2 linked regions of the Stegostoma tigrinum genome follow. The protein of the gene in region 1 purifies or fractionates together with the protein of each later gene. This does not show direct contact. Links are inferred from orthologs where the notes say so. Each region holds a gene or a part of one and is shown on either strand. Other genes may lie near its edges.

Region 1 (10,475 bases):
TTCTAACGAACAGTCTGTACTCAAAGGATTCAGTTTTATCCCTTTGTGCCCATATCTCAAATGGATTTCAGAGTTCAATGTTGTGTCATACCTGTCACCTTCATGCCCATTTCTTTGAGCAAGACCCCCTTCCCCATTCCACAAACCCCTTCAACCACTTCCAATATCCTTCCCACCACCTGACACTGAGCATGTGATACTGGTTGCCTTAATTTCTCTACTCCTCTCACCCATCACCCTCTGAACCAACTGCATTTCACACTGTTCAGTTCAATCTTGTCTTTATCATGTACTAAAGATGGGTCAATGGACACAAAGGTTAACTTTTCTATCCAGATATGCTACCAGACTTGCTGAGTTTCTCCAGCAATTTTTGTTTTGTTTGTCTCAATTCTCCAGCATCCACAGTTCTTTGTTTTATTATAGAAAATGAACATTCAGCTTGTGGCATCCAAAAAATACCAACAGATTTCAGATCCTCTAGAGGGTCAAAGGTCTTTGCATTTTGGTATAAAGGAAATCTGCAGCTACACAATACATCTGTTTTACCTATACCTGCTAAGTGCTACATTAAATGTTAATACAAATGAAACTACAGTAACCAACTCTCATTTTTTGAAAACATAGAGAACCACAAAATTTAATATTTCCAAGAAATAATCTTGAGTAGAAATGTTCCTCAGGTTTACTGTTAACTTTTGTCCCATAACACTCCTGTGAATCTAAACAAATAAGTTTGGTTGCGAATGCTCTACTCAGTACAGTCACTTTTTACCCAGTACGTAACTGAAAAGCGAATGTGGTACTATGGTTACCTTAAGTGTAAAAATTACAAAGTTGCAACAAAAAAAATCAATGGTTCAGGTATTAACTTAAGCTGAACTCAGAAACAACAGCAACTATTCATCTCTAATTACTAATGGAACAACTAGTTTTTGCATCTCATTTGAGTTTTGGTCAAGATTTTAAATTCTCCCACAAAATTTTAAATTTGAATTTTCATTGTTGGGATATGTCCTACATAATATATGCCCAATTCCTGGCCATAAGAAAGTAGTACATAGAGAAAGGCTACTTACATCTGTGCTGTGTTCTAGTCTTCCAGATTATGGGTCTGCTCTCAAACGTTTAACACCACTTGCAGTGCAAAATCATTGTAAAATTCACCGCTGCACTTTATGAAGCTAGGTAGGATAAAGATAAATGTCCCATTTGCGAACTAGCCTCAATTACCCAAGGTATTAACAAAGGTTACACATATCCTCACTGAACTTTCATCTTCAACTTTTTTTTATATAAAAAAGTAAAAATGGCCTGCATAATATTATTGATCCATGAGGTCACATGTAAGAATTACATTAGTAGCTACAGAGTGCAATTTTGTGCAAGAACAAACTTCTCAAAAATAAAGAAATGAAACTGAAAGTAAAAAGAAAGTTGGATATCCCCATCTGAAAAAAAAAGTTTTCTACACGTCCAGAGAAAACTTGGCAGAATAAATTCAGTAACAGCCAAAAGACAAAATGTTTCATAAGCCGAAAGGTAAAGTTTGCAATTACAGTAATTGATCTTCAGCAGTTCTGCTACTAAACAACTTTCTTATGGGATGTTCATCATACGGTTTACATGGACATTTGTAACACATGCTTGTGGAAAATATTGCTTGCAGAAGTATAACAAGTCAGCAAGACTAATGAAAATATTCCCAAACTATACACAAATTCAGTTGAAAAAGGTACATAACCCTGCCTACAGTTTCACTCCAGACTGCAAAATATTTACCAGTTCGTTTTTGGGCCACTAACTGGTTTAGACAAGCAATTCCTTTAATTAACAAGTGTGAAAATGATTGACTTTCATAATTTCCAGATTTCACCCATTAAAAAAAAATCTGCATTTTCCTCTTTCTACAAAATATAAAAACAGTCAAACTGGTGCTTGCAAAAATGAAAACAGAGATAGTAGGAACTGCCGAGTGCATTCTGGATAAACACACTCGCCTCACTACAGCATGAATGCAGCAATCTGATGGATCATCATTATTCCCAAACTTCCTTTTCATATTTGAGACAATTTATACATCAAATACTATTAACTTATTTTAATTGCATCAGATTTCTTGTGATGAGTTACACTAAAACTTTTAACTATATTGCCTGCATTCAATATTGGCAATATTTGCTGTGTTATTCTGCTTCGGCCACCTTTTAATCTCACCCCACCCTCAAATTAAAATTGAGTTAAATAGAGAATGTACACAAGTTCTCAAATACACCAAAACAGAAACAGGCTAAACAATACTCCAAAGTTCTGAGGAAAACTGAGCTTATTGTTCTAATGCATGAAGCTATCATTTAGCACAATGCCCCTGAAAAAATCCTCCATTTCAACTGTGGGTCACATTCTTAAAACATCTTCGTAAAACAATTAAAATGCTGTGTCTACTTTGTCGGAAAGTTCGTGGGTCTGAAGTAGTTAAGAACAGCAACAGAAACACAACAGAACACAAATATTAAGACATTTAGCCAGGACAGGGAAAAACTATTTGCTATTCCAAATTATGAGAATAATTTAAATGCAGAAGAAAGGTTGCATAGTTATCAATTTGACAGTATCTAATTAGAGCAGGGAGTTCTAAAATACGTTGTTATTTATTGATAATAATATGGAACACTGCATCAGTGGCGGGGATTTAAGCAGCTTTTCTTGATACCAAGTGAGAAAGCAATGCACAAACTTCTCAAGACGTCTATTAGCATTATGTTTGAAAACAAAAGGAATCAAAACCACTACGTCCTATATTAGCTTACAGACCAGTAGTTACATGCAAAACAATCATCCATAACAACTGAGGAACTGTGTCAATATTAAAAGTCACCTTTTCCCCAGTCACTACCTGACCAGCCAAGTGATATCCAATATTTTCAATTCTACTCTTAATTGAACATTTGATTCACAATGCACCAATCTCAGAATAACATGTATAAACTTTAATTGTTTGCTGGTAAAATGTTCATTATGGTCTAAGTGACATTACTAGTCTGGCATCTATTTGCAAATAATGTGATTGGAAGTAATAGTTTAGCACATTCCAAACCCTAGGGTATTTGAGAAAGACTAGGACCTAATTGAAGTGCAAGTGGGGAACGGCTTGAGTGAGTCACTGCCAAGAGAATTGCAGCATATTTCTAACACCAATTTGATTTGCTCCTGCCTTGACTTCTTGATTTTCTAGCATTATTTCTCAGTACCCAACCAGACATAAAGAACACAGTACACTTAATGGGTACACTGGCTTTTTTGGGTTCTTCTACACATCAACTATTGTTTGTGCTGCAAGAGAATCATCCCAGAGTTTGGTTGCTTTCTAAGAAAAATGCCCACCTTCCTCTTCCGACGAACAAAGCAAATGTTAGGTTGTTTTCTTGATAATTAAAAAATGTCCTTAAATTGGGCAAATTAAAATCAAAATGGGGCCAGAGTTAAAGCGTTTGAAAAAGACCACACTTTCAAAACATGTACGTTCTGACACTGTATGCTTTACAATCAAGGAGAAGCTATATACACTAAATAAGGCAAGTGTGGTATATAGAATTACATATGACCAAGAATCCACAATATCAATATTTTGCTTACTGTCTGTATACCTTTTACAAGAGTATCCCCTTTATAATAGATAATTTATGCAGCACAAGTGACCTGGTCCATCCTAGTTTCTAACTCAAATGCGTCGGGACGATCCTGTGGATTAGCAGCCAACATGTCTTTAATAAGCTGTTTGATCCCTTCAGACATAAAAGTCCTCCTTTTCTGCGGGATATGTAGTTCCATCTTTGGGTTTTCTAGCAATGCCTCCCCTACAGGTACAATCTCACTGCCCTGTCTAACATAGGTCCCAAGCAGTTCTTTCTTAGTCTCAGCATCAATAAATGTTATTCGTTCAATCATGGCCCATATGATGATCCCCAGAGCGAAAATGTCAGCCTTGGCCGTATAGTGTCCTTCCCAGACCTCTGGAGCCATGTAAAAGTCAGAGCCACAGGCGGAGGACAACCAGCACTTGTTCACATTCACGTTTTTGTTAGTGGCTGCTCCTCCGCCCACCACACAAACTTTGCTGAGGCCGAAATCGGCCACTTTGAGAATGGGGACTCCCGACTTCTCGGAGATGAGGATGTTGTCGGGTTTCAGGTCGCGGTGGACGATGTGGTTCTTATGCAGGAAGGCGATGGCGCTGGTCAGCTGCAGCATGAAGCTGGTGTTGACGGCCGAGTCGGGCCTCCGGGACAGCACGTACTGGTTCAGGTCACCGCCGTTGCAGAACTCCATGACGAACCAGAGGTAGCAGGGCTCGCCGGCGCCCAGGATCCGCTCACCCTTCAGCGAGGTCTCGACCAGGCGCAGGTAGAACTCGGAGCGCTTGTTGCCGTGGCTCATCTTCTGGGCCATGCCATTCCGTTGCAGCACACACTCCTCGAACTGGATCACATTCTCATGCTGCCGTTTGAGGCTGGTCAGAGCCCAGAACTCGGACAGGGCCAGCTCCACGTTCTCCGGGGCGTCGCAGCGGATCTTCTTGATGGCCACCCGGGCGCCGCTCTTCCTCACCACCGCCTCGTACACCACGCCGTAACTGCCGCGGCCCACCTCCTGCACCAGGCTGTACTTGGGCTCCCACAGCAGGCCCGGGAGCCTCGGGCTGTTCGTACTGGTGGTGGTGGTGCCGCCGCTCAGCGCCGGGCGCTCCTCACAGTCGGTGCCTTCTCTCGGCAGGTCGTGAGTTTCCATGGTGGGCAGCTGGCTGAGGGGAGGCTCTCGCACTCCACATCACTGAGCGACAGAGGCCGGGGCCTGGCTCTCTGTCTCTGCCCCCAGGGCCTCCGCCTCGGCCTCGGGGCCCCCGCTTCACTCGGCTCGAGCTCCAGCTCCAGCGCAGCCGCAGCTCCCGGCCCCACTCCCGGGAGAGGGGGGGGGTTGGGGGTAAAGAGAAGGGAAGAGGAACAGGACCCGGCACTCACTCACTGCCGGCCTCTCCTCCTCCACCAGGGTAACATCCAGCCTTCCGCCCTCCTCGGGATCAGAGCACACAGCCGCTCACCGAGCCGGACAAACTGAGCCGCCTGGTTGTAGCGGGCCTCCGCCGGCTCGCGCACTCATTCATTGCTGGGAGTTTGGGGCCTTCTCCCCCCAACGCTTCCTTTCGGCCAGTCCACGGCCGGCCCCGTGCTCACGTGCCCTTGCCGAGCGCATGCGCACGTCCCGAGCTGCCTTCATGCCTCTTTCCTGTCGCGTAGTTGCGTGTCTACTCGATCTACCGCACTGTGGTTCACGGAGTTGGCTTGTCATTGCCATGCAGTGTCTGCGCGGTCTTTGCAATGTACCTCAGTCTGTACAGGCAGCCCTGTCATGCCATGCAATGCCTGTGCAGGCTGTACTTTTCATTATGCATCGCAGTCTGCTCAGGCCTCTGTTATGTATTACGCAATCTGTGCAGGCGGTGCGCTTAATTAATGTACAGCAGTTCGTGCAGACAACGTACCGTGTAATGCAGTCTCTGCAGGCTGCAGTGTGTCCAGGCTGCTCTGTCATACGAAGTCTTATACGGGCTATTCACCTTAGTGCAGTCTCAAGAAACTGTATACCAAGTAATGCAATTTGTTACAGATGAAATTGAAGGGATGTTATAGATTTTGTCCTCAATATTTCCAGTTTCTGCTGAATGTCGTTTGAAAGCTAGTAAATTGACCATATATTCATTAATTGGATCAAAACAGTGGGGTAAATGATGTGTCTGCGGTATTACTATGAATAATACCATAGACGCATCATTTACCCCACTGTTTTGACCCAATTAATGACTGGTAGTCATAGAAAGGGTACAGACTAGTTTTGGTCTCGATTTTTCCTCCCTCCCATCCTGTTCAGATCATCCCCAGACATCCTTCCCTGCTTGTGACATGCAGATGCAAAACACTGAGACGCAGCCTGGAAACTGGAACAGAAACAGAGGTCGCTGTTTGTGGCCAGCAGGTCTGGCCACATCTATGAAGAAAAATCAAGGTTAACATTTCAGGTCCGGTTACCCTTTTTCAGAACTGATCGTAGCTAAGAAAATGTCAGTTCATTTGCAGAAGACAGAGAGGAGCAAGGGGTAAGGAGTAGACGATAGGTGGGGATAGAACCCAAAGAGAGCAAAGAGCAGTTGGATAGACAAAGGAGTTAATAACAATCTGGCTAGGAGGGTGGATAGTTGTTAATGGGGACTGTTGGGGGTGGAGTCATAAGGAAGGGGATGGGAGGAAGATTCCAGAGGTCCATGAGTATCTCTGAGTTGTTGCATATTGTGGAAACTGACCCATTTTACCTTTACCCAACCATCTTTGAACTATCTGGTGGATGTCCCAGGGTGTTGATGGTGCTAGCCTCGCATCATGGGAGTGGGCATAGTAGATGCTTCCGTCCCAGCCTAGAGAGCTAAGCAGCCATGTTTGCTACTTTAACTTATGTATGTCACAGCAGAGACTATGTCCATTCCTCTTTGTCTCTTCCAAGTAAGTGACAGATATCTTCAGGAGCTAGCAGCATTCACAGTTTTGCCGTAGTTATCACTTAATTTATCTTTGTTGTAGTGTTGGAATATCTGTTGTCATCCCATCCTTTGGGAATCTCACCACAAGCATGCACTGCATGACAAAAGCAACATTTATCCTGAAAAATATGTCAAAGTTACAATGAGATTGAGTGAACATCTTACTCTACTGCAGATATGTCCAGAGGAGGAAATCCAAGAATATCAAGTTACACCATACAGTAAACTGGTTATACTGCAGCAAAAGGATGTTATCTAAGATCTAATGAGATGCAAGGAAGAGAATTCAAGAACAGGAAGTGGTTTAAAGAGTCAAAAGGCTTTTCTTAAATACCGGTCCTATTATTGCGTGTTACAATTTTTCTAATGTTTAGGAACCGTTCCAGTTACCAGTTTTTTTTAATGACACATTCATAACTCTAGGCATAGCCTCACAAATTTCCTCCTTCATCTCCTTTGGAACTTTAAAGCATATCCAACATTACAGAGGAAAAAGGTTATTGGAAAGATCACTGAAAAACATAACTGCAATGAGTAACAGATGGAATTTACAGAACATACTGCATGCCCACTGGTGCAATATCAATCTAAGGAAGGGACATTGTCACAGTCAAGAACTGATAGAGTAGCAGGAACTGAACTCTGCATTTATTTTTGTGAAAGTAATTTTGAAAAGTTATTGCTGTTCATCAATAATATTGTACTTAAAATTCATAAATGTATTGGTAATGTGAATTTATCTAACACTTTTAATGTGCCTGAAATGGCCCAAGACCCTTAGACATGCTTTGAAAAGAATTTGACAAAGTCAGGGGAACATCTGCAGGATTTTCTAACTGGATGGCATAATATAGATAAGGAGGGGAGAAGACAGTCAACAAAGGATATTTGAGAACAAGGATGAAAATGTTAAAATCAAGACATTTCTGGACCAGACACTAGTTTAGATCAGCAACCAGATGCATAATGGCAGCAGAGCTGTAGATGGGCTCCAGTTAACAAAGTGTGCAAGGTTAGAAGCTGGCTAGGAGAGCATTGGAAAAGATTAGTCTAGAGATATCAATGGAATGGATGAGGATTTCAGCAGCAGCCAAGCTGAGGCAGTGGTGGAGATTGGCAATATGTTGGATGCAGTAGTCTTGGTGATGGAGAGGATATTATTACAATGCCAGGATTTTAAATATTGCATGATAGAATACAAATACGCTGATGAAAATATCACATGGAGGAGTAAGTGTAAAAACATGATCTGTCTCAAATAATATAGTTGCAATTTAAGATTATTTAAGTATGGCCATTGAAAGAATTTTCAATCAGCCATTTGCTTGCAGATCCTTTGTAACAACTATACCTAGCTGGATTCCAGTTCATACTGTAAGAAATTATGTTAATAAGAGCAGTGAGCCCTCTTATAAGTAAAGGGTAAGAGCAGTGATAAATGCCATCTAATCACAGTTTTCTAAAACAAGCATTGAATGGATAGTTAGATGTATAGTACTAGTATTGCTGTATTTAATTTTTTTTGGTATTGGCGTCAAGTTCAATTCAACATCTTTTTCAAAAAAAATGGTACAGAAAATATTTCAAAAATCCCTCACTTGCTTTCTGAATCAAATGGCTATAATAGCTCTTAGGCCATATCTTGTACTTACTTGCTCCCCAGAATCTAATTTCTCAAAAAGGGTCAAATGTAGACTTTCAGAATATTTATTATATCAGAATATTAAATGGGAAAACTGTCAACTGATAAACTGCCCTAGAAATAAAATAGATTGCTTGGGCATTTTAAACACTAGCTTTATGCAGCACTGGAATTACAGCCCACATTCTGCCTCCGGGGTAGCGTTTCACACCATTTATTTTAAACATTTTCTAGATGGACACTGATTGATCATTGCAGAGTTAAACCACCACTGTTGCATCAAGGCATAACTGAAGCCATCCTACATCCATACAAATTGGCGATACAAATGTAGCTAAAGACTTTTCCTTTGTTCTGCTTCCTATACAGCTGTATCTTACCATGGACTTAAGTACAGTCATTGAGTACTCTGGCATTCCAATGTTACAAATACAAATGTCAGTAATCAAAAGATATCAAAATGCAGAATTTATATTCTGAAGTTTCAAAGCAGACATTTGAAATTCAGATCAAAATTAGATGGTCATATTAATTTGATGATGCTCACCCCATTCAACAAAGTAATTATCTTCTTTTCATTGACTGATAAATAATCTGAAAGAACCAAATTAAAATGATATAAACAAGTTTGAGCTTTATTTACAAAAAACTGCCGTGAGTGCTGTATTGATTTAGAAGTGTCACATTGTTGAAAAACTATTTTAGTGATTAAATATCCATAAATCAGTATTATCTAATCTGTAATAGTCAATATGGAATGTTATATATTTCATGTAAGAGATGGATATAATTCAATATTCTATTATAAATGCAGTTTAAAAAAACAATTGGGATTGATTTTCAGAGTCAGTTTATGATGTCTGTCTAATAATTTAGGCTGTAATGAATTCAGGTTATTGATCTTACAGGTTTCCATTTGTAGCAGTCACCTACAAAACTACAGGTTTTTAATGTTTTTAATGTTTCAGATGTTACTTCCTAAAGGAGGTTCTTCTTCCTCTGCCAAAATACCTGTTGTAACTTTTACTCTATTGACATTCCTCAAAGGTAGATAATTCAGAAAAGCAGGAGGTCAAATTGTCCTGTCATGGCAAATCAAGTTATGTTAAAACTGTTTAGACATGTTTTAAAATGACAAGCTGGTTTTGCAGCAACAGCCTTTTTGCCCCAGGGTAAGAATGTCCTGTCAGTTCAAATGCATTAGGGGATGTATTTGGTTTTAAGATAAAGCAGAATTCAGGCACTGAAAAGGTCTTAAAAGATCACGAATTCGGTGATTATGGCATATGGAGTTATGATGCTATTTAATCAGTTTCATGCATGCACAAGTTGCTGGTACAAATCAGGCAGGACAATTGGGCCACCAACCTGCTGTAATTAGTTAGACAGCTGAACAATTTTGATCAGAGATAATGGGAACTGCAGATGCTGGAGAATCCGAGATAACAAAGTGTGGAGCTGGATGAACACAGCAGGCCAAGCAGCATCCTCGGAGCACAAAAGCTGACATATCGGGCCTAGACCCTTCATCTAGGCCCGAAACGTCAGCTTTTGTGCTCCTAAGATGCTGCTTGGCCTGCTGTGAACAATTTTGATGTTAGGATCTCATTTTCAACTTCACAGGCCAGCAACCAATGCATTTTCTGTCTTGATTCAGGCCTCGTTGATTTGCAGGATGCATTTCCAAAGGACATGATGACAATTTAAGGTATACTCATACCTCTTGATTTAAATATATTCAAATTATGTTGCTGTGTTTCACAATATGAGCCAAAAGATGTGTCATGGTAGAACTCCATGGTTCAGCAATGCAGTGATTACAATTTTAGTGGAATACAGGAGACCCCATAACATGATTCTCTCACCTGCAATGTCAGGAGGCTATCAGAGACATGCTGCAGCAGGCCTAGAAGGAAGTGGTACAAAAAAATCAATTCAAAAAACATTAGCAATGCAAGATCAGTTTGCGTTGTCATGGAAAATTCAATAATCATAACTAGTTCGGAAAGTTGGGAATGATTCTCACCTATTTCATTTTCTCTACGTCAGACTATAACAATTCCCTCCATTCCTCCAATCACTAGGACACACCGCACCAACCCTGTTTTCTTAGCCAAATCAAACTCAACTGTTGCAGCTACCTTCAGAATAACTCCAAACAGTATGCTGCTTTCACCACGTAACAACTGGAAGCATTTTCTCCCTCTGCTATCTGTTTTTACATGTCAATCTGGAGCCACTTCC
Region 2 (10,669 bases), on another chromosome or scaffold:
CTTCACATTTGTACCAAACACTTTCAGCCACAACCGTATTCTCCCAATCTTCCAATAATACTTGTTGATACAGACAATTTCAAAGTTCAGGACATCTATATGTATAAAGACGCATTTAACGAAAATCAGATTTCTAAAACTATTTCTGAATAAAATAATAAGATTTGAAATTCCTCCACTGATTTACTGGAAACCTCTTTCAATCTAAATTTGCTTGGTTACTGACCTTCAAAATCCCGCATCATCACTAGACTAACGTCATACAAGACAGAAAGAGACAATATGCTCCATGGAAAGTCTTAGACTCAACCGAACTAGTTTATTACAATTTGAACCTAAATACATACACAAATGTCCACATAAGATTGCCAATACAGGTTGCAGAAATTTGTGAGGTCTAAGCGTCAGTAACTTTGATGTGGAGGTGTAGTGCTTTCTGAGCTTTTTTTTCATCTACAACCTTCCTGGCATCAGACTAACTTGTCCCTTTCTGTCGTGGAGAAGACTTGAGGTATATACTCAATGGTAGGTCCAGGGGAAGGTTGCTGAACAAAGAGACCTTAGAGTGCAGGTCCATAATTCCTTGAAAATAGAGTTGCAGATAGATAGTAAAAGGTGTTTGGTATGCTTGGGTTTATTGGTCATTGCATTGGGTACAGGAGTTGGGAGATCATGTTGCGGCTGTACAGGACATTTGTCAGACCGCTTTTGGTCTATTGCATTCATTTCTGATCTCCTTGTTGTGAAACTTAAAGAGGTTCAGAAAAGATTTACAAGGATGTTATCAATGTTGGCGTGTTTGAACTTTAGGGAGAGGATGAATAGGCTGCGGCTATTTTCCCTCGAGTGTAAGAAGCTGAGCAGTGACCTTAAAGAAATTTATAAAATCATGAGGGGTATAGAAAAAGTGACTAGCCAAGGTCTTTACCCCAGGGTAAGGGAGTCCAAAACTAAAGGGCATAGATTGAAGGTGAGAGAGGAAAGATTTAAAAAGGACTTAAGGCTCATTTTCTTTTATGCAGAGGGTGGTGCATGTATGGAATGAGCTGCCAGAGGAAGTGGTGGAGGCTGCTACAAAAACAACATTTAAAAGGCACCTGGATGGGTATATGAATAGGAAGATTTAGAGGGATATGGGCCAAATGTTGGCAAATGGAACTAGATTAATTTAGGATATCTGGTCAACATGAACAAGTTGGACCAAAGAGTCTGTTTGCATACAGTACATCTGTATGTATTATGAAGTTCTATATTCTTCTTGGAACACCTGTTTTTCTTGTCATCGGCAATCATTCACGAGTGAGTATGCTTGTCCACCTAGGAAATTCTGTGTCACTGATCATGTGTTCTGTGGGACCTTGTATGACTGATGAGCCCAATCTGAGAGCCACATCCTGAGCACACATTTGGCAGGTGTTTCCAGAAGATGGAATTGGTCCTTGACCTTGAGATTGTTGGTGTTCCTTTCTCCAGTTCCTTTCTGTAATTGCTATTGCTGCCAGGTGTTTTCAAAGTATTGTGTCCTTTCGTACAGGAGCTTTCTCCAAGCCAGTTTCTTCTGAACGAGGGTCTCCTATGAATTGATATCTATGTTGCATTTCATGATGGAAGCCTTCGTGGATCCTATGAAACACTTCCTTTGTCCTCCTCACATTCGAATGCCTTCCTTGATTGGGCAAAGAAGATTTGCTTTAGTAGTCAGAATTCAGGCATCCTAAGCATATGGCCAGCCCAGGCGAGTCAATTTTGGATGCTCGTGGCCTCAGTGCTGTTGCTGTTAGCTGCTTCAAGGATGCTGATGTTAGTACGCCTGTCATCTCAACTGATGTGGAGAATCCAGCTCAAATAACATTGGTATTTCTCAAGGGTCTTGAGGTAGGCGCGTATACATAATCCAAGTTTCAAACCATATAGAAGAGTTGATGAAGGGTCTAGGCCCGAAACATCAGCTTTTGTGCTCCTGAGATGCTGCTTGGCCTGCTGTGTTCATCCAACTTCACACTTTATTATACAGAAGAGTTGGAAGGATGACTGCCTTATGCCCAAGGATCTTGTTATCAACATGGATGTCACAGTTGTTGAAGACGCTCACCCTTAGCTGTCTGAAGGCAGCACTTGCAGATTATATGTAATGTTGAATCTCTACATCATTGTCAGCCTTAGATGAGAGGTAGCTTCTCAGGTACGGAAATGTGCCACATTTGGGAGGATTTCTCTGTTGATCTTAATAGAGGGGTGGACCAGAACTTGACCTGGGATGGGTTGGTAAAGGATTTGAGCTTTCTTAAAGTTGAGCCTGAGACAAATTCTTCAGTGTGCTTCTGAGAAGGCATTAAGTGAAGCTTGAAAATTCTCTTCCAAGAGACCAGAGGTGACATTGTCATCCGCATGCTCAAGTTCCGCAAGTGAGGTCAGTGTCAGCTTCTTCTTGGATTTCAATTGGTTGAGTTTGAAAAGATTTCCATCCATGCTGTGGACAATGTTCACACCACTGGAAAATTTGTTCTTGACAAGATAAAGGATGTTGGCAATGAAGGTGGGAAACGGCGGGTGTGATGACACATCCCTGCTCAATCATTATCTTCATCTCAAAGGATTCTATCCTTTGCTGTCAATGAGGACCATTGCCAATATCGAGTCATGTAGCATAGAAACAGACCCTTCATCTAGCCATAGTGGAGACAGAGGATGGTAATGAGTAACAGTAGACAGCCAAACTTTGACAGGATCTTCCATAAAAGTTCCTGCCTGAGTCAAAAGTCTTGCTCAGGTTGATGAAGGCCAGGTAGAGTGGTTGGTGGTGTTTCTGACATTTATCTTGGTATTGCCAAGCAATGAAAATCATGTGCCTAGGTCCACAGTTTGGTTGGAAGCCATGCTGGCTTTCAGGAAAGATTTCTTCTGAGACTGAGAGAAGGTGCTTAGCAATGATTTGGGTGATGGAGAGGAGGGAGGCTCCTCAGTAGTTCCCACAGTTCACTTTGTCTTCTTTCTTTAGTGAGCTGGAGGGAAAGATAAACAAAACCTGTAAGTATCTTGCATTTTACATAACCACCAAATATCCCAGAGCTCCTTATAGCCAATGCAGTAATTATGAGAGATGGGCCCAGTGCTTGGTTTTATTTCTTTGCAAACTTAAGTAGGACTGACAAAGTTATTTTACAAATTCTGATGAAAATCTGTGTCTATAATTCTCCAAACAGGTTGTAATTCTAGGTTTTGCCATCACAGCTGCTGTGCTGGAACTGCTGGCCCTTTCAGAGCACCAAGATAAATTTTCTGAACATGGAAACCTGGAAATAGGCATTGGAATTGCAGAGTATATCTGATGGAAACCTAAGATATCATAACTGTAGGCCTGTCTTCTAATTGGTTTCAGAGCCTCTATTTTATATAATCAATCTGAATATTTATTACATACTGCATGTAATGCAGTAAGAAAATGCCAATGGCTTTCTGCTGAATCGTAAACACTGGATATGAACGTAATAGTACCAGACATCTGCTCACAAATTCCAAATTACTAAAGAAATATGTCTTATCTTTAATCTTAATCACTTCCCAGTAGAATTCCCAGAGGGATGAGAGTGTTCGTGAATGTTGTTGACAGAACTAGCTGCTTGATTATGACCTAAAGATCCTCACACAATACATCATTAAATAAGATTTCCTTAAGAAAGAGCACTCATGGTTCAGCACAAATTATCACTCTTCGGTATTTTCCCTACCCTCTATAACAACAACAACTTGCATTTGTTTCATGCTTTTCATGTAACAAAATGTCCCAAGGCAATTTGCAACTACTGTGAAATCAAAAATTGACACTGAACCAGTAACAAAATCAGATGTTTGGTCAAACAGGGAGGCCTTAAGTATTGTCTTTAAACAATCAAGAGCAATATATAGGCAGAAAGACTTAGGGAGGGAGATACACAATTTAGGGTCTTAGTAGTTGAAGGCAGGGCCACTGATCGTAGTGTGAGTCAATTAAAATCAGAAATGTTTAAAAGCCTATCTGCAGTTGTTCAAAACAAGTCAGATAACACCAGACAATAATCACGTTCTGTTTCCAAAATTATGTATTTTATTCTTAAAATTTGTGAAAAAATTACAAAACACATGGCTCCAAATTACAGTTTGCGAGAAAATTCACCTTGTCGCAATACAATGAGTTTCACTTTATATAATTGTAATAATCTTAATATATACAACATATAGTTCACATAAGGTATACAGGCTGATGGTAAACCAGTTTGTATTTGAAATGTCAGAACATATTTTACAGTTTCATGTTCCACTCTGAGGTTCCTCAATACATTTCTATACTCTTGATTGATAATACATATTCTTTGTAAGGCACACAACTAAGCAATTACCATCTCAGTAGTATCCACCACAGCACTGACACTGAGTGATTGCTTATATTATCAGTATCAATTCAGTGTTAATCTAGTTGCTTGGTGAGGTTATATGTTAGTGCTTTGATATCATATTCTGAAATTAACCTCATAGTGTTTGATCAGTAATGGTTTATTCCTGCAATAAAGAATGTCCTAAATATAGCGCTTCAGTGAAAAGTGGCTAATAAAATTATCTTACAAAGACAAAGTATAGGAGTTGGGACATCATGTTGAGATGTACAGGAAGTTGATGAAGCCTCTTCTGAAGTATTGTGTCCAGTTATGTTTTTGGAAGGATATTATTAAACTGCAGATGGTTCAGAAAAAAAATTACCAGGATGTTGCTGGAGTAGAGTCTTTGAGTTATAAAAATAGGCTGGATGGACTGGGTCTTTTTTCACTGGAGTGTAAGAATTTGGGGGTGATTAAAAAATCATGAGGGGCATGGATAGGTGTCTTTTCCCTAGGTTGGGTGATTTCAAGACGAGATGCCATATTGTTAAGGTGAGAGGAGAAAGATTTTATAAAGACATGATGGGCAACTTTTTTACACAGAAAGTGGTTCATGTGTGGAGTGAACTTTCAGAGGGAGTGGTGGGTGTGGTTTGTTTGCATTGTTTAAAAGACATTTAGATAAGTACATAAATAAGAAGTGTTTGGAGGGATATGAGCCAAGCACAGGCAGGTGGGATCATTTTAGATTGGGATTATGGTCAGCATAGACGAGTTGGACCAAAGTGTCTGTTTTTGTGCTGTATGACTCTGACCCTATGACCTGAAAGAGCACAACCTTGAAAAAAATTGCAATATCACCAAGCTGCCCTCTACTTAAGGATAAATAGACACTAAAAAATAAAGCTGCCATTCAGCCCTACCTGGGAAAGAATCTAAATATTATTTATAGGTCAGATAATTTAGTGAAAGAGAATTAGTTCTAAAATAATGGCAATCCACTGAGTAAACACACGGCTGTAATAAATTTCAGTTTTAAAAATAATATAAGTCTTAGCCCCACAAAAGTTACTTTGCAATTTACCGAATATCCAAAGTAGTGAATTTTTCGATAGTTCGATTTTTCTAAAGCACAGAGAATATGGAAATCTGAAATAGAAACAAAAAAAAGTGGAAATACTCAGTAAGTCAGGCAGCACATCTCGACAAAGAAGCAGTTAATGTTTCGGGTTAATAATCTTTCATCTGTACAAGAAAAAAGTGGGAGATGGGATAAGTTTGAAGCAAATTGAAGGGGTGATGGTGAGAAAAAGCACATAAGGGAATGTTTGTGGTCAGATGGAGGGAAAGAAAGATAAACGACTCAAGTCAGAAGCCAAAGAAGTGATAGTGGAACAAGTAAAGAAACAAAAGATGTGTCAAGAGGTTTTGGGAACGACAGAATGATGAACAGTCGCTGCTCAAAAGCAAAACCAAGAGCGGGTAGGCAAATCAAATGTAAAAACCTCAAATCAGCAAAGAAAAATGAACGTGATTAGAGACGTTACAATTTGAAACGGTTGAATTCATTGTTGTGCCTGACAATCTGCAGAACATACAAAGGATTTAAGAACGCCCCTTGAGCTCCAGATGTTATTGTGTATAGGTAATGCCATTCATCAGTGACAATTATAATCTTAAAAAGTGCTCAAAATGGCATTTTTGGTCATTTTTCCGGGAATATAAGAACAATTGTCGACAGATACACTGCTGATAGTACCTGGAATAAGGTACATTTTGTGCGGCAATTTGAACCGTATTTCTGTTTGTTACTGTGCGCGCGCGTGAAAATTCATCAGAGTTGTTCGACATATATTGTGGTCAATTTAATGAAACAGTTCTTGACTTTGATATAAATTGTGTAAGCAATATGTGCCATATAGTTCGAGTATGCTAGAAGATAAGCAAATTGGTTAGAAATTGTACATATCCCTTACTTGCTAAACTGCAAAACAATTTAGAAGGTACAGTAATGGTCGGTCACTTTTACTGGCGTTGCAAACTGTGCTTTTACACAAATAGAGCTCATGGTTTACTTTCATCTGCCAAAAGTACTCAAAAGGTATTAATCCAATGCAAAGTCAGCTTTCTGCACAGTTTGACATTTTTCTATTTTGCCCTTCACAAAGATGGCGGGGCCCATTTAATACGGAATGATGGACGTCTTAGCAAACCAATCGACACGCCGAGTGGGCCACAATCCTCCATTCAGACAGCGGTCTGGGCGTGTGGGGTGGGGTTGAGTCTCGGAGACCGAGTTTCGCTGAAAGTTGCAAATGTTTGTTACAGTCCTGTTTGCGGCGAGCGTGTGACTGTAACAGGTTGGGACGATCGCTTTCACTGAAGATGAAGACTAAGCAGGTAGGAGTTTACTGGAGTTCGGCTTGCAGGTGCTATTTTCCCCGTCTAGCTACTGAATGTTATTAAAGGGATCCGCAGCCTGTGCCTGAGCGCGCTGAAGTGTTTGTCTTCACAAAGTTGAGATTCCCAAAAACTGCCTGCCTGCAAGCGCTGAAATTTTTTTAAGGTGCAGTTTTAAAACATCAACAGTTAATTGCTGTCTCTTGTATTGCAAGAGCCTCTTAGAACCCGACCGGCACAAGGTCCAAATATGTCGTCGGCAAGTCACAAAAGAGGAGTCAGGAAGTCAGTTCAATGCAGGCTGTGTCCTTCCCCACCAGTTGGCCCTGCCTATATAGGGTAGGTTGATATGGGCTCTGCTAGAATAGCAATCCTGAGTTACGATGGCACAGACTGAGCTGGGAGGGTAGCTTTGTTGAGAATACTGCTGGAACGTGTTTTGGAGGTAATATTATTATATGAATCTCGCTGTTGTCACAATCAAGAGATGCCACAGAATCGTGAAGTTTTCGATCGATGTTGTACCGGCATCGAGATTTTGTTTTGGAAGGTGCACACTTTTTGAGGCGAATGACAGCTAATGTGCCCCAACTAAAACAATAAAGGACCGTTTCCTGTGTCTGTGGAAGATAATTTGTCTGGATTTCAAATTGTGAAGTAGGACAACAATGTACAGTGCTGCTAGATGTTCTTGAAAGATGAAGCAACAAGAGAAAAAGTATTAAACAGCCAGATTTATGTCGCAGGTCCTCAGAGCTTTGAGGCCCAGTCACTTTGTTTCCATTTATATTTGGCACCAAGAAAGTGGTTTATAAACATTCAGCAGGCCTGTGTCAGAAGGTTGGCCCATATGGTTGGCTCAGGGATAGCTGTGTGAATGTCGATTATGTCATTATAAAGGTGCTTTGTGTAAACAGTCGGATCTTTGGCGGGATACTGTCAGGCTTTCATCAGCGAGTGGGCGAGTTAGCTTTAAATCTATGAAGTCATTTATTGTGTTGTCGGCGGTTGTCTAGGCATTTTGTTGATGTTAAACGGTTTCGTTCGTTTTACCCACTCTTTCTCCACAGTTTTCGCCCACTCTTTCTCAAGGATGTTAATTCATTGCCAGGGTGAAGTTCCTTCAGCACGAGCAGTTTTGACTATTTTGACGAATAAGCATTCTGTCAAGTGCGTGTTTCGGCAGTTAACGGGCAGAAATTTCAACCACATCGGCGGGAGGTGGGGGGTGCTAGTGCTTCGGAATGGTTCCGAGTGGGGGGCAATAAAAACCAAGAGAACTGCGGATGCTGTAAATCACTAACAAAAACAAAAGTTGCTGGAAAAGCTCAGCAGGTCTGGCAGCATCTGTGGAGGAGAAAACAGTTAACGTTTCGGGTCCGGTGACCCTTCCTCCGAGAAAGGAAATTTGTGTTCGTTGTACTGCATCAACTTTGCATTTGCAGTCAGCTGACCAAACTCCAGCCCAACCATCATCGCTACTGAAGTTGCAAGTTCAATTTAAAATTTGTCATCAAGCTGTTCGTTCTGGAAAAACCATCTCAACCACCCTTCTACTGATAGCGGAGTCTGTGCATGGGGGTGTCAATGGATAGTGATTCACAGTGAGACATCACTGGACTCTAACTTCCTCCTCTAGGCCAGCTCAAGTGGGGTAAGGCATTCCAACTGTTTTCCTTGACTGAACCTGGTCTTTGTGGGAGGAATTTAATGCTCTTCCCTGTGGTAAACTTGATGCCGGGGTGCCAAATTAATTGGTGGGATTCTGCCAGCTACCCTCTTCTGCCCTGATTAAGCCAATGGATAATCTTCTCACCTTCACTGTTAACTGAGACCAAAGTGAGCAACTAATGCCATTTATCCCACTTCCACTGTTGAGTAGAGGGAAAGGATGCTCACCATGCATGGAACATATGACAGAAATCATGGGTGGGCCCCTCATTCAAAGGCACAGTGCTTGAGTCTTACTATTTTGCTCTTGCTGCTAATTCCCAACCTGCTCCTTGATCCCGGGTAAGGTCATTGCTGTCTGGTAAGTATGTCTCAGTGGCAGTTAATTAAGTGGGTCTTCGCTAAAAGAAGCAATGGTTGACATGTGTGCAACCACTATCAACGTCTTAAAAGCTGCCCTGTGATTTAGGATCACAGCAGGTGGCTCATTGGCATTTTGAGCCAGGGAACATCTTTCAAGAATGATTGACAAAAAGTATTTCTTTCAACTGCCCTAACTATGTTATGATTAATGTTCAGAAGCAGTTCAATATTTCTGCTCTAAGAGATAACAAGGTGTATAGCTGGATGAACATGCAGGCCAAGCAGCATCATAGGAGCAGGAAAGCTGACGTTTTGGACCTAGACCCTTCAGATTCTCCAGCATCTGCAGTTCCTACTATCTCTGAAGCAATATTTCTGCTGTCTGTACTGTTGAATATCCCTAGTTTGAGCTTTTTGACCTTTAGGATCTGTATAAATGCTAGCGTGCAACAACATCTCTTGTTGCTGCGGTTGATGCCAATTCAATAGCACCCTGTGGACAGTGTTGCCCATCCTTGATCCTTGATTTGAGTGGTTTGCAAGGTTATTGAAGAGGATAGAATAGAATCCCTACAGCGTGGAAATAGGCCCTTCGGCCTAACAAGTTCATGCCCACCCCCCTATAAAACTACCTAATCTACACATCCCTGAACACTACAGGCAATTTTAGCATGGCCAATCCACCTAGCCTGCGCATTTTTGCACTGTGGGAAGAAACCAGAGCACCCAAAGGAAACCCACGCAACATGGGGAGAATGTGCAAACTCCACACAGACAGTTGCCCCAGGGTGGAATTGAACCCGGGTCCCTGGCGCTGTGAAGAAGCAGTGCTAACCACTGTCCCACCGTGTAGTTAAAGTCAACTCTGTAGCTGTAGGCCTGTAGTCACATGTAGGTCACATGCCAAGTTAGGATGACAGTTTTCCTTTCCAAAAAGGGATAGTTGATCCAGAGGAAGTTTTACAACAATTGATGATATTTGTCATGGTCATCATTATATAGGACTAGCTTTCAGTTTCAGATTTACTATTTTAATTTAAATTCCATCAGTTGCCCTGGTGGGATTTGAACCCATATCCCGGAGCCTGGGCCTCTAGATTATTAGTCCAATGGCAATACTGCTATGCCAACATCTTCCCATATCTACAAATTTCACTGCCTTCACCAATTGACCAACTACTTGGACACCTTTTTGTACTTATTTCATGCTTCTTTCATGTTGACTTCTGCATTGGTAATAGCCGGCAGCCTTGTCTCACCCATGTCTGATTACACAGGATCAGTTTCATGAAATTTTGTTCTGACAGTACCAGTGTTTCTGATTTGCAGACCATTCTTTAACCACCTAAATCAACTCTGATAGTCTCCAGCACCTTGCAATAGCTCTGGTTGAAAACACAACGCTAGTATATACTTCTTGCAAGTACAATGTTGTTCTAATACAAGAACTAGTCAGGTACAATGTGTTTCTTTATCTTAGCACTTACATCACTGCTATAGCTAGAATACCAGCCTTAAACATACATTACCTTCTGTAACTTTATCAATCTATTGCCACATAGAAATCTTTAATCTTACTCTTTACTTTGACTTTGTTAGAGTATAGAACAAAATGTAAAATTTTGTAGGTTGGTTTGCATTCTTGTCAGAAGCACACAATTTGTAAAAAGCTTGAGGGGCAATGAACACATTACAAGTTACTATGAAAGGTTTTGACGTATTATAAAATAGTGAACATCGAATGCTCTCGATTAATATTGTCATATAGAATGATAGCTTAGACTTGAAGGGACACAGGATATACTCCGAGATAAGCAAGAACTGCAGATGCTGGAGTCAGAGACGACACAGTGTGGAGCTGGAGGAACACAATAGGCCAGGCA

The links.
Region 2: the proteins of stk35 (region 1) and c28h1orf174 purify together in Homo sapiens (affinity purification with mass spectrometry; 3 studies listed by BioGRID and IntAct, counting the BioPlex papers as one, with this or other methods). This does not show direct contact. The link is inferred for Stegostoma tigrinum from reciprocal best matches to the Homo sapiens genes STK35 and C1orf174.

Annotation. Positions count from the first base shown.
Region 1 is NC_081372.1:35,990,638-36,001,112, reverse strand, and holds the start of stk35 (serine/threonine-protein kinase 35), read right to left. Parts: upstream 5,249-10,475; 5' UTR 4,789-5,248; coding exon 3,682-4,788; 3' UTR 3,648-3,681; intron 1-3,647.
Region 2 is NC_081381.1:42,838,719-42,849,387, forward strand, and holds the start of c28h1orf174 (UPF0688 protein C1orf174 homolog), read left to right. Parts: upstream 1-6,596; 5' UTR 6,597-6,737; coding exon 6,738-6,752; intron 6,753-10,669.